Linked DNA regions of Macaca fascicularis. The main gene of each other region encodes a partner of the protein of the gene in region 3 in a complex. Links are inferred from orthologs where the notes say so. Each region holds a gene or a part of one and is shown on either strand. Other genes may lie near its edges.

The links.
Region 1: the proteins of FGFR3 (region 3) and FGF23 are in contact, whole or in part, in a cryo-EM structure (PDB 7YSU), measured with the Homo sapiens proteins. The link is inferred for Macaca fascicularis from reciprocal best matches to the Homo sapiens genes FGFR3 and FGF23. Residues at the interface, in NP_000133.1 of Homo sapiens: Glu157, Arg158, Asp160, Lys161, Leu163, Leu164, Ala165, Val166, Pro167, Arg223, Asp244, Leu246, Glu247, Arg248, Ser249, Pro250, Val277, Tyr278, Ser279, Asp280, Ala281, Gln282, Pro283, His284, Ala312, Gly313, Ala314, Thr316, Thr317, Asp318; in NP_065689.1 of Homo sapiens: Ser29, Leu32, Gly33, Ser34, Trp36, Tyr43, Ala45, Ala47, Arg48, Asn49, Ser50, His52, Ile75, Arg76, Ser77, Glu78, Asp79, Ala80, Gly81, Val83, Val84, His117, Gln118, Thr119, Asn122, Gly123, Tyr124, Asp125, Leu158, Ser159.
Region 2: the proteins of FGFR3 (region 3) and KL are in contact, whole or in part, in a cryo-EM structure (PDB 7YSU), measured with the Homo sapiens proteins. The link is inferred for Macaca fascicularis from reciprocal best matches to the Homo sapiens genes FGFR3 and KL. Residues at the interface, in NP_000133.1 of Homo sapiens: Gln286, Leu288, His290, Val291, Val293, Gly299, Thr303, Pro304, Tyr305, Val306, Thr307, Val308, Leu309, Lys310, Glu320, Leu324, Ser325, Leu326, His327, Asn328, Val329, Glu332, Asp333, Thr338, Leu340, Phe347, His349; in NP_004786.2 of Homo sapiens: Ser539, Gln540, Phe541, Thr542, Asp543, Asn545, Val546, Tyr547, Leu548, Trp549, Asp550, Val551, Ser554, Lys555, Arg556, Leu557, Val563, Lys566, Arg568, Tyr571, Val573, Ala576, Pro580.

What each region holds. Positions count from the first base shown.
Region 1 is NC_088385.1:5,238,102-5,242,138, reverse strand, and holds the start of FGF23 (fibroblast growth factor 23), read left to right. Parts: upstream 1-1,237; 5' UTR 1,238-1,363; coding exon 1,364-1,574; intron 1,575-4,037. UniProt on the Homo sapiens protein: Regulator of phosphate homeostasis. Inhibits renal tubular phosphate transport by reducing SLC34A1 levels. Up-regulates EGR1 expression in the presence of KL. Acts directly on the parathyroid to decrease PTH secretion. Regulator of vitamin-D metabolism.
Region 2 is NC_088391.1:12,724,689-12,728,962, forward strand, and holds the start of KL (klotho), read left to right. Parts: upstream 1-1,474; 5' UTR 1,475-1,492; coding exon 1,493-2,317; intron 2,318-4,274. UniProt on the Homo sapiens protein: May have weak glycosidase activity towards glucuronylated steroids. However, it lacks essential active site Glu residues at positions 239 and 872, suggesting it may be inactive as a glycosidase in vivo.
Region 3 is NC_088379.1:1,935,357-1,939,606, forward strand, and holds the start of FGFR3 (fibroblast growth factor receptor 3), read left to right. Parts: upstream 1-1,450; 5' UTR 1,451-1,638; intron 1,639-2,008; 5' UTR 2,009-2,110; coding exon 2,111-2,219; intron 2,220-4,250.

The sequences.
Region 1 (4,037 bases), on a different chromosome or scaffold from region 3:
GCTTTGTAAACTATAAAAAAAAAACTGCACAAATGTAGGGTAACAGATGCCATTTCTTTCTGTCTATACCTGTATGCTTGCACTCATTTTGTATTACGGTTACTTATTTTTATCTGCCTCCTGCATTAGATTTGAGCTCCTCGAGATAGGAATCACATCTTGCTGTCTCCTATATCAACTTGTACGTGATGTCTAGCTTGATGCCTGTACATGGCATGTACTCAGTACATGGGAAATTGGAAGAGGAGCAATCTCCTTGGGTATTTTTTCGGGTGTATGTTGCAGTAGCTTGCTCCCCTTTAGACTGTGCGTGCCAGGACTATTCCCCCCAACATGAGGTGTAGCTTCCCAGAGGGCGCACTGTGAACAGCATCTGCAGGCAGGCATCCAGCACCAAGCTGAGCACTCATGTACAGACACTAAATGTGGGGACACCCTGTCCTGAGGCTCGGATTCCCGGTGCTCAGCCAGCAGCCTTTCCAATCCCCATGAGGTCTCTGAACGGGTCTCCTTACTCCTGGAGAGACTATTCATTTAGTTGTCCTCGATAGTCCAAACTAGGGAAACTGAGAAATTGAAACTTGGCATGTTCAGCGAAGTCCAAACTAAGGACGCTGAGAAATCGAACCTTGGCATGTTCAGTGAGCTCAAGACCTTGCTTCTTTTTCTTCCATTTCAAAATCTTCCCAAAATGGCAACTTTGGTTTTTGTGCCCCTGCTCCCAGCTCCCATCTTTCACGAATTGGGGGTTCTCAGAGGATGCCATCTGCCTGACGGTGTCATGTATCTCTATATCCTACAAGCTAGCCACCGAATCCTGCTCATAGATTAAGCACTGATACATACTTGCTGATTGGAATTTAAAGAAAACCAAAATAAGTAAACTCGACGGGAGATTAATTGCCTGGGAGTCGGTTGACTGCTTGACTGAAGCTGGATTTTTTTTGGGAACCGCTGGCTGCCTTCGCATTTCCTGATGGACGTGGGACAGGTCAACAGACAGCCCAGAGCGGCAGATAACTTTTGCCCACGCGTCATTCATTTTTTTGGAGCGTTGGCTTGAAATTGAGGGGGGTGTGTGTGTCTGGAACCGACGTGCCTTCCGTGCGCCTCCGGGGTCTCTGCACTCTCTTTCAATGGGCTGATTACAACACAGAGGATGTGGACAGCGGAGTTTTTCCTGTTTGATGTCACACTGCTACCCTTTAAAAGTCTGATGGCAAAAAGGAGGGAATTCAGTCTAGGATCCTCACACCAGCTACTTGCAAGGGAGAAGGAAAAGGCCAGTGAGGCCTGGGCCAGGAGAGTCCCGACAGGAGTGTCAGGTTTCAATCTCAGCACCAGCCACTCAGAGCAGGGCGTGATGTTGGGGGCCCGCCTCAGGCTCTGGGTCTGTGCCTTGTGCAGCGTCTGCAGCATGAGCGTCATCAGAGCCTATCCCAATGCCTCCCCATTGCTCGGCTCCAGCTGGGGTGGCCTGATCCACCTGTACACAGCCACAGCCAGGAACAGCTACCACCTGCAGATCCACAAGAATGGCCACGTGGATGGCGCACCACATCAGACCATCTACAGTGAGTAGGACTTCAAGCTGGGAAGAAGGGGTGCGCCCCTGTTGTCCATCTACAGGGGGCTTGGGGAGGTTGGGGACTAGACTGGAGGGCTAATCCAACCCTCCAAGCTTTCTGCCCAGGAACCACTTATTGTCTGTGTGTGTGTGTGTGTGTGTGTGTGTGTGTGTGTGTATTTAAATCTTAGGGGAAGATTCTGTCACTCTCCTAATTAGTATTTGCTGGTTTTTCTAACATGCATACTTTTTGTTTAAACTAAAACCCTTCCCACAGTAGGAGCCATATTCCCTTTGCCCCATCAAAAGATTCAGAAAATATACTGAAAAAAAGCAAGGAGTCTAAGAGAAAAAGAAGCCAGGCAGATCAACAGACACTAAGTTTCAGCTCCTGGACTTCAGGCTGGGTTAACTAGGCAGGTTGGAAAGAAGATTCCCAGGTCATACCCAGATTGTAATAGATAAATCTGGGGGCTCTTTCCAATTCTGGCCTTATAAAAATTCTTGGAAAAATGTATTAAACACAGACCGTCCAGGAATGTTGTCTTGGTGAGAATGGCCAAGTATACAACCCATCCACCCATTCATTTGTCCATGCATCCATCCATCCAACCTTTAAACTTTAACAGGTTTAAAGGCTGTTTCAGATACTCAGGTACCCCGGTACCCAGTACGCATTGGTGATTCTTCTCCGTGGAACTGAAAGGTGTCCAGTCAGTAGCAAGTCAAGCTAGTTAGAAACTTATTGGCAATGTGAGACAACTGGAATGTTTTTAAAGATCAGGTTTGTGGAGAATTGGATCACAATCCACAATAATCAATCCATTAGCAACGATTCAAATGAGGGCCACTTTGTGCGCACCTATATAAGGGGTAATGTGGTGGGAGCAGGGATATTGAAAAAGACTGGATCTTCTATTTTAAGAAAACATGTGAATACCTCTGAGAATATATAAAAATGCAAAGTGATCCAATATAGCTCAAATTAAGGGAAAGAAAAATTAGTTAGACAATCTCTAACTAAAGAAAACATAGGAATTATGATTTGCCTTTTATTGTTGTAATAAGTTAATTATTTTTGCTGTGACCTTGCTGTGTGTGAGGCATTTATTCTTCTAGGAACCAAAGGTCCTTAAACCTGGTTGCAAGATATATAACATGCAAAATTAAGTTGCAAGATATATGACATGCGAAATTGACAGTTTAAACCTCCTCAAGTGCTAGATGCATATTGATAGGAGATAAAAGGAGAGAGAAAAGTTCTCTCCAAATACCAAACAGGTTCCAGAACTCTAGAGGATATACTAAGACTCAGGAGTCAACATCTTGGAAACCAAGTGTGAGTCTCGTGGCAAAAATTTCAATTAAATCTGGATATACTTGATGAACCCCAAGTGTTGTTCATTTTATTCAATGGATATTTAACAGGATCTACAATGTGCCTGGCATTCTATCAAGCTCTGTGACTGAAAAGTAAGACACAACCCCTCAAGGACCTTGTGGTCTGTCGTCCTGCCTTGTCAGCCAGCTCACTACCAGACTTTAGGAAATGCGACTTTGCGCCTCTCATGGAGCGGCCACTCTTACTCTGATTCAAGACTCTATGTGATTTAAAATGCAGAATAGTAGATGATGGTAAATTGTTTTGATTCTCTTAGATGGAAAGGGCGGCATCCAACTAGAGAATGTTTACACAACTTGTCTCGAATCCTGGAATCCCATTGCTGAAAGGAACTCCTTAAAGACGTTTCCTCCTGAACAAGAATTAGGGTAGAACGGAACAGGCTGGCTACGGTGGGGAGTGAGTGTGAAGAGTCGACCTCCTGGGCTGGCATTCTGAACTGTAGACCTTTTCCTTGAAAACCCACCTCGTATCAGGCCCCAAGGGATCATTGAGTGCTAGCTGAATTAAAAGGATTGAGAGGCAGCAAAACAAATGGAACTGACTTCAGATCTTTAAAAACAGAAATACGGTTTTGTTTTCTTAGACACAGGCACTAGCTAAACATTGCATCTTTAAAGAGTTAAACACGAATATGGGGAGGGGAACTTAGGGTCAGGGGAGTGGGAGAGAGATCTGCCTTTCCTAGTCTATGTAGATAACTTTTTGTACTGTTCAATCAGTTGTCACGTGTATTATGGGGGGGAAAAAGTGCAGGAAAAAAATTACACAATACAATTAAAAGTTACCCAAAAGAGGCCAGGTGTGGTGGCTCATGCATATAATCCCAGCACCTTGGGAGGCCAAGGCAAGAGAATCACTTGAAGTCAGGGGTTAAAGACCAGCCTGGCCAACATGGGGAAACCCTGTCTCTACTAAAAATACAAAAATTAGCTGGGCGTGGTGGTGCGTGCCTGTAATCCCAGCTACTTGGGAGGCTGAGGCAGGAGAATTGCTTGAACCCAGGAGGCGGAGGTTGCAGTGAGCTGAGATCACACCACTGTGCTCCAGCCTGGGCGACAGAGCGAG
Region 2 (4,274 bases), on a different chromosome or scaffold from region 3:
TTTATTGCCTTTAAATTTGTATGAAATAATGCGGGGAACATAGATCACTGGGAGAATGGATGCACCTCTGTAAGGATCTTAGTCATTCAACACACGTGTAGGGATGAGGAAACTGAGGCACGACTTACTGGATAGGAAGGTAGAGATATTAGCAAGAGCCTTCCCTTGTCTGGGCTTTCTTTCTATCTTTGAGTCACCTTTGCGCAGTTTTTCATTGCACTTCACAAGCCTCTGAGGCGGCAGGGCAGACAGGACACCCCTATTTTATAGACGAAGAAACTTAGGCTTACAGAGGTTTCCTGCCCAAAATCATAAAGGTGGAGCCTAGACCTTCTCAGTCTCCACCAACTGTATCTCGGTTATTCACAATCCTTTCTACCCACATCCAAATGGACACCGTGGCTCTGCAATTTCTGTCAAAAGGGCTCTTTGGCAACAGGAAAAACGTCATGGCTCCATTGTATTGTAGAGGATGGGAATGGGTGTTCCGGCTAAATCCCCCCTCCCCTTTCCCTCCACAGCTCAGATGGCAAATGTGGGACCCAGGGACCTCCCTCTCCAGCAGGGCTGTGCGCACAACTTTGCACAGATTACCTGCTAAGTCAGAGCCGAAAGCTAACACAGGTGCCAAAGGATAATAAAGGTGAATGAGATTTACTCAAAATTGGAAACTTGGTGTTTGGTTTTTCAGGAGAACAATCAACAACTGTGATTTGAAGTTCACCAGGGAATTCTGATAGATCTAATCAAAGACAGAGTGCTGGTTTGAAATGATTAAAAGGTAACAGTAAAAGGGAGAGTAAAACCCCAGTCCCAACGCAACCCATAAATCTACTTTGTCTTCCTCGAAAGAGGGGTGCGCGTGGGCTAGTCTCCCGGCGATCATCTCACCTAAGCGGGGAATCCCTTTCTCTCAGCACACGGTGAAGTTCCCCCTTGGCTGTCCCACCTGGCCGTCCCTCTAGGATTTCGGCCAGTCCCTAATTGGCTCCAGCAATGTCCAGCCGGAGCTTCTCTGGGCCTCCGAGTGGGAGAAAAGTGAGAGCAGGTGCTTCCCCAACCGCGCGCTCCTCCAGGGCCCGGCAGGATCCCGCGCCCAAGTCGGGGCTAGTTGGTCGGCGCCTTTTCTCCCAGACGAAGCCGCTCCAGGGCTGATCTCGGAGGACGCGCGGCCGGCAAAGAGAATGAACCTGAGCGTCCCCGAAACGTCCTGCGCGGCTCCCGGGAGATGGGAGAAACAGGTGCCTTTCTCCGACGTCCGCTAGCGACGCCTCTAGCACCTTGCCCACTGCCGCGCCCCTCCCGGGGACCTCTGGCCCTCCGCGCCCCCGCCCCCGGTGACAGGGCGGAGGCAGGCCCGGCTCAGGTAATTATTGCCAGCGGAGCCAGCCGGGGAGCGGGGGTGGGCGCGCCGGCGGGGGGCGGGCGGCGCGGCAGGGCGCGGGCATAAAGGGGCGCGGCGCGGGGCCCCGGCGCCTGGCTCCAGCGCAGCATGCCCGCCAGCGCCCCGCCGCGCCGCCTGCGGCCGTCGCCGCCGTCGCTGTCGCTGTCGCTGTTGCTGGTGCTGCTGGCACTGGGCGGCCGCCGCCTGCGCGCGGAGCCGGGCGACGGCGCGCAGACCTGGGCCCGTTTCGCGCGCCCTCCCGCCCCCGAGGCCGCGGGCCTCTTCCAGGGCACCTTCCCCGACGGCTTCCTCTGGGCCGTGGGCAGCGCCGCCTACCAGACCGAGGGCGGCTGGCAGCAGCACGGCAAGGGTGCGTCCATCTGGGACACGTTCACCCACCACCCCTTGGCACCCCCGGGAGACTCCCGGATCGCCAATGTGCCGTCGGGCGCGCCGTCGCCGCTGCAGCCCGCCACCGGGGACGTGGCCAGCGACAGCTACAACAACGTCTTCCGCGACACGGAGGCGCTGCGCGAGCTCGGGGTCACCCACTACCGCTTCTCCATCTCGTGGGCACGGGTGCTCCCCAATGGCAGCGCGGGCGTCCCCAACCGCGAGGGGCTCCGCTACTACCGGCGCCTGCTGGAGCGGCTGCGGGAGCTGGGCGTGCAGCCGGTGGTCACCCTGTACCACTGGGACCTGCCCCAGCGCCTGCAGGACGCCTACGGCGGCTGGGCCAACCGCGCCCTGGCCGACCACTTCAGGGATTACGCGGAGCTCTGCTTCCGCCACTTCGGCGGCCAGGTCAAGTACTGGATCACCATCGACAACCCCTACGTCGTGGCCTGGCACGGCTACGCCACCGGGCGCCTGGCCCCCGGCATCCGGGGCAGCCCGCGGCTTGGGTACCTGGTGGCGCACAACCTCCTCCTGGTGAGTGCGAGGGGCCAGGCGGAGGGCCACGCGGGGGAGACAGAGGGCCCCAGGTGGGGCCAGGGGGAAGTGTGGGAACTGAGATTCCCCCAGACGAGGCTTCACTTGGACACGTGTATGTGGTCACCAGGGGGAAACTGAGCAGCTCTGACTTCCGTTGGAAAGTGAGGAATTAGGAGATAAATCCCTCAGTGGGCACACGAGTGAGTGCCCCTTGGAGCCCATCTGTGGAAAGGAAGTGGGAATCGATTTCAGCAGTGAGGAAAGGAACTCCTTTCTCTGGGTGTAGAGGAATTCCTAGAGGTGATGGCGGGGTGGATTTGCTAGGGGAAACTACAGGAGAGAATGAGCAGGGTGGATGAAGGAAACACGTTTGTTCTTAAGCTGCACAAGAGAGAATTACTGTCTGTGGAGATGTCACGAGTTCAGTGTTAATCCAATAAGATCTGTCTTGCTTGTGGCACAAATTCACACTGTTGTGAAAATGTCAAAACACAGCTCCCCGAGAGTCAGCTTTAAACTGTGTTTGGAGGTCCCTTCTGCGGTAGGGTAGGGAACTCTGCTTCCACCAAACTTATTCACCAGGGGTGTGAAGACCACTTTATACAATCTCAAACAAAGCTAGTCATAGAAAAACAGAAACAACTGCAGGGTGATATAGATTGTTCTACCACACCTGTATTTCTACAGTGCTCTCTACAGTTGAAAGGGTTCCTCACTTATGACATTGTTAGCCTGATAAAATTAATTGTAACACCCCTGCGCAAAAGATTTTATTAATTTTGACAGCAAGAAATATTTATTATGCCATGGTAAAGTTGTCTCAAGTATTTCTTCCTCCTTTTTTCTCCTTAGTGTTCAAATTTAGGTACCATTGTTTTCTCCTTAGTGTTCAAATTTAGGTACCATTGTTTTCTCCTTAGTGTTCAAATTTAGGTGCCATTGTTTTGGGGATTCATTTATAATCATGTCAGTTGTTAGTACACTTTGTACAGAATTTTGTGTCACAATAAAATATTTTATGTACATATATAAACATTTTAATAAAAGTGTTTAAATGTACAGCTTTTGGTACCCAATTTTGATGTCTTGTGGGCCTACTGGAAGACCTATTTTTAAATTTAGAATTCAGCCACATATTCTGAACAAAGTCAGTATGAAAACCATTTCTAAACACTTTTAATTAAAGTCATAGATAATATGGGCAGAGCACTACTGGGATATTGAGGTAACTTAGTGCTCTGAGCTGCTGGTAATGTTGTAATAATGGCTAAATTAGATTTTATGTCAGTTCCACAAAACCTGTTTGCTGCTACTGGCCAGAAAAGAATGTTGGATTTGTTTGGAAACACATTGTGATTTTTGTGATTTCATACTTATGTATGTCTTTTCATAAGGGTACTTTAGAGCAGTGATTCTTACACTCTTTCAATCCTTTTATGGAACTGAAAAACCCTAAAGACCACCAGTGTATGGTTGGTGATAGAAAAACTATGGGAAGAATGGTCTCACTTTTTGAAGAAAACATAAGCAAGTTATCAGTTCATACTGGAAGCAAATAAATGGATCAGCTGGAGGATCTAATAGATCATGCCCGTAAAATCTTTACTTTAGATTTAAATCCTACAAGTTCTATTTTTAGAGTCCCTAGGATAAACTCGTGTATACAAAGTAGTCAGTTGTTATTATAGTGACTTATAGGATCATTTTATTATAAGATAAAGACTTGCATGCTCTCTGGAGCTCTGGTGTTTTAAATAATCAACATGTTTTAGATCTTTGTGCCTACTCGTGGTCCTCTGATTAACTTCTCAGTTATATTTTTCAACACTTAACACAAAAAACTTGCCAAACACTAACCATCCTTCCTAGAAATGCAGTGGACTTTGTATTTAGAGGAAATTAGTAACAGGTGAATGCTTGATTTTGCTGATGCTGCAAACAAACTGCTAGTTGG
Region 3 (4,250 bases):
AAAAAAAAAAAAAAAAAAAAAAAAAAAAAAAAAAGAGCAGGGCCAGTGTGCTGCTGTGCCCTGGGGAGCGGTGTCCTGGGAGGGGCCTGACTGGCAGTGGCCTGGGGCTGTGCTCTGGAGGGGGCTGGACAGTGCACTTGGAGGTTAGTGAGGCTGGGCCCCAAGATGGTCTGGGGACATGCACTTGGCCAGAGCAGGAAACAAGGGTGGCCGAGGACAAGTGCTGAGCCACCAAGTGGGCACAGAGAGGTGGGCATGAGGGCTCCCTGGGAGCAGAGCCCTTCCAAGGCCCTGAGGTCAGTCCAGGGACACCCTGGCCTCTGGGAGCTGCAGGGTTGAGCTGTGCATGGGCTGGGTAGGGTCAGCAAACAGCCAGTCACTGAGGGACTTTTAGCGCCCATTTTCCTGATGACTACATTTAGTCCTGGAAGCCACAAGCCAGGCGGGCAGCAGACTCGGCCGGCCCTCCCCCCAGCTCACTGGCTCCCATGGGCTCCGGACCCCCTTGGGCTTTGCCTGAAGATGGGAGCAGTTGGCCTTTTCCTTGTGAGGGTGGACACAGAAGCTAACAGTCATGTGGGGTAAGGGGACCCAGACACCCGCAGCGTCCCCCGCAGGGCAGTATCTTCCCCTCCTGGGAACCCACCTCACCAGTCCCAACCCTCCTCAGCTGGACTCTGAGCCCGCCCCGTGGAGCCTAGAACCTCGGGCCAGCTCAGGCTCTGCCACCAGCTCTTCGTTATTCTCCCTCAGAGCCGGGCTGCGCTCCCCAAGCCAGGGGTCTCCAGCCCCTGCCCTTCATTCTAGGCCGGGCAGGCAGCCAGTCCCAGGCCTGTGTCCTCCTGGGGGGCAGGGGTAGGGACCTCTCGGGGCTGGGCACTCAGGCGGCTTAGGTGCATGCGGCTCGGCCCCAGGTTAGGCAACGCAGCCTCTGCTCCTCGCCAGTCAGGTACGCAGGCCGCACCGGGCTGCCCCAGGCCTGCGGCGCACACCGGAGGCTCGGCCTGGAATGCCGCCCTGCCCTCCTCCACCTGAGGAATTCCCGCTCACACCACAGGGTTCAGCTCCGCGGCATCTTGGCGACGCCTCCTGACATCCCGACCCCCGCCGAGACCTCCCCTCTGAGCTCCTGAGCACAGCCTCAGGGGACCCGAGCTGCGCGCTGTGCAAACGGAGGCCTGCGCTCGCCCTCGGTGCGCCCCGTGCCCACCGCCCACCGGGCCGCCCCGCGGTGCGATTGGGGGCCTCGCCCGCCTGCCCCGGCTCCCACGCCCTCGAGACCGCCGGGCGCCCCCGCCCGGCCACGCCCCCTCGGATGCCCCGCTCCGCCCCGAGGGGGCGTGCCTTGCGCCCCGGCGAGTCGGGCGGGGGCCGGGCGGGAGCGGGGCGGGGCCGGGGCGGGGCGCGGACCGTCCCCCACTGGCTGCGGCGCGCGGGGCAACCCAGGCTCAGTGCGCGGTGGCGGCGGCGGCGGCGGTGGCGGCGTCGCGAGCAGCTGGCGCCGCGCGGTCCTGCTCTGCCGGTCGCACGGACGCACCGGCGGGCCGCCGGCCGGAGGGACGGGGCGGGAGCTGGGCCTGCGTACAGCGAGCCGGAGCGGGAGCCGCGCCTAGCGAGCCGGACTCCGGCGCCCGCCAGGTCGGTGCTTGGGTCCGGGCAGGCGCGCGGAGGGGTCCAACGGTGCGCGCGGAGGGGCCGGGGCGCGGCAGTCGCGGAACCACAGCAGTCCCTGCGGCGGGCCGGGCCGGGGCGCGGGCTTCCCGCTCCGGAAAGTTTGCCGCCGCCGCCGCCGCCCTGGGAGGGCTCTGCAGCAGCCAGGGAGGGAAGGGGGAGGAGGGAGGAACCGCGGCGGGGAGGAGGCGGCCGGCGCCAGGCGGCCCGGGAGCTCTGGGCGGCGGCGGCGGCGGGCGGGGCGGCTGGGGGTCGGAGGGGTCGGGGCGCAGGAGCCGGCCACCGCCGCTTTCGTCCCTACCCGCGCCGCTAACGAGCTGCCCTCCTCCTCCCGCAGTTTCCCAAGCGGCGCCCGCCTCCCGCCGGTGCCCGCGCCGGGCCGTGGGGGGCAGCATGCCCGCGTGCGCCGCCTGAGGACGCCGCGGCCCCCGCCCCCGCCATGGGCGCCCCTGCCTGCGCCCTCGCGCTCTGCGTGGCAGTGGCCATCGTGGCCGGCGCCTCCTCGGAGTCCTTGGGGACGGAGCAGCGCGTCGTGGGGCGAGTGGCAGGTAAGAAGGGACCCACTGGGCACGGGAGGGGCCGGCCCGTGCGGGCAGAGGCGTTGGGGACGGGAACCGGCCCCAGGTCGGAGGGAACTCCGGGTGTGAGTGACGCCCCGGGGTCAGCGCCCGGATTCCGCTGCCTCCTTCCCGGAGAGCGCGTCCAGCGGTAGCGCGGCGACTTGTGGGGCGCCTGGAGCCGCAGGTACCCCCCAAATGCGAGGCCGCCACGGGGAGCCAGGCCGGGGGTTGGCGTCCGCAGCCCGGTCCCCTGCGGCTCCCCAGCCCTGGCCTGTCGGGAGGGCGCGGGTTTCCCCATTTCCACGATTCCCGCTGTTCTTCGGGTTCTGCGCAGACGGAAAGTTCCCATTGTTGGCGTCCCCCTCCCCCGGGCCCCAGTTTGTGGCGAGCTTCGGCCAAGGGGAGAGGCCGGACTTCTGAGGGTGGGTGTGCGCGTCAGCGAAGCCCGGCCCCTGCCCGCCGGACGAGGCTGCAGCCTCCAGCGCCCCCGCTGCCGACCCTGCCAGTGCCTGGGGGCTGAGGGCGCTTCCCCGTGGGTGCGCGCCGAGCTCCAGGCGAGCGAGGAGCGCGTGTCCCAGCGTCGCGGGCCCTAGACCGGGCTGGCGGTCCAGGTCCTGCGGGACGTCAAGGGTCTGAAGGGAGGTGAGGGGAAGGGGCGCCCGGCCCGCCCTGCACGCGCGCCGCGGTTCCTCGCGGGTCGGGCCGAGAGCTCCGGTGCCGCCGCCCCGTACACGCTGCCGGCTCCGGGCGGGCGAAGGGGGCGCGCACAGCCCAGCCCGGCGGCCGCGCGGAGGGAGGCCCTGGCCCGGTGAGTTCGCGCCCCACCCGGGCCCAGGCCCGAACAGCCGCTCCTTTGTACCTCGGCGCGGCCACAGACCGCGCATTGATGGCGGCGCGGCGGCTCGCGGGGAGGTGTGAGCGGCTGCGGGCGCGGCAGGCCGGGGAGGGCGCCGGGAGGGCCGAGGCAGATGGCGGCCGCCCCGCCCGCGCCCCCGCGCCCCTTTCTCCGGCGGCGGCTGCAGCCTCCCGGAACAATGTCATTTTTTTTATGAATGAAAGTGGCCCGGCGCTTGAATGTGCGTGTCATTCAGCGGCGTGACAGGGGCCGTCGGGAGGTCAGCGCGCGCTTTTAGCGCCTGCTCGGGCGGCCCCGCTTCCAGGGGTGCGGGAGGGGCGGCCGCGGGGGGAGCCTGGCTTTCGTATTCTCATTCAGATAAAGATATTACTCCCTACGGCCCGGGAATGTCAGCCAGCCCCGGGGAGGGGCGGCGGCCAGGCTACAGAGCCTCTCCCGGATCCCCGGCGGGCGCGCGGGGCCTCCCCTACTCGCCCCTGGAACGCCCCGCCCCCCGCCTTGGGGCGGCGACCCCGCCCGCACTGGAGCTGGTGAAACAGGTAGTGAGTGAGTTGATCGGTCAATAAACTTAATCCGGTTCCTTAACAAGATGGGCCGGGCAGTAAAAATACAAAGACCTCGTGAAATGGACTGAGGTCTAGGCTGGCGCTTGCCTGGGAACATAAATTATGGAGCCTTGGCTGGCAGTGGTCAAGGGCGGTGGGGAAGGTTTTGGCCCCTGGACTGCCCTGGCCACCCCAGGCCCTGCCAGGACAGCCGCCATCTCCCCAGAGGGCTGTGTTCCTGGTTGGAGCCTAGGGGGACCCCCCAGGGTGCAGAGAGGAAGACAAGGTCGGCTCTCCCACAGCGCCACACCCCCCAGCAGGGGTCTCGGGGTGCAGGGTCTTTCCTGAAGGTGCTGACTGAATCCTCCCCCACCCCTCCTCTGCCGGGCTGGACTTTGAGCCGCGTGGGCCTCTGGGTGGTTCATTAACCTGGGCTGAGCGTGGCCTCCAGGTCCTTGTGTAAGCCTAGGAACCCCTCGTTACTCACCCCCCAGCCCCCCAGCTCTCAGGTACTTGGAGCTGGAACTGGGAATGGGGCACCCCTTGTTACAGCTGAGCTTGGGTGGGAGTCCAGGGGCTTGGGGGTCTCCTGGAGGAGGGGGGTCCAAAGTCACCCCA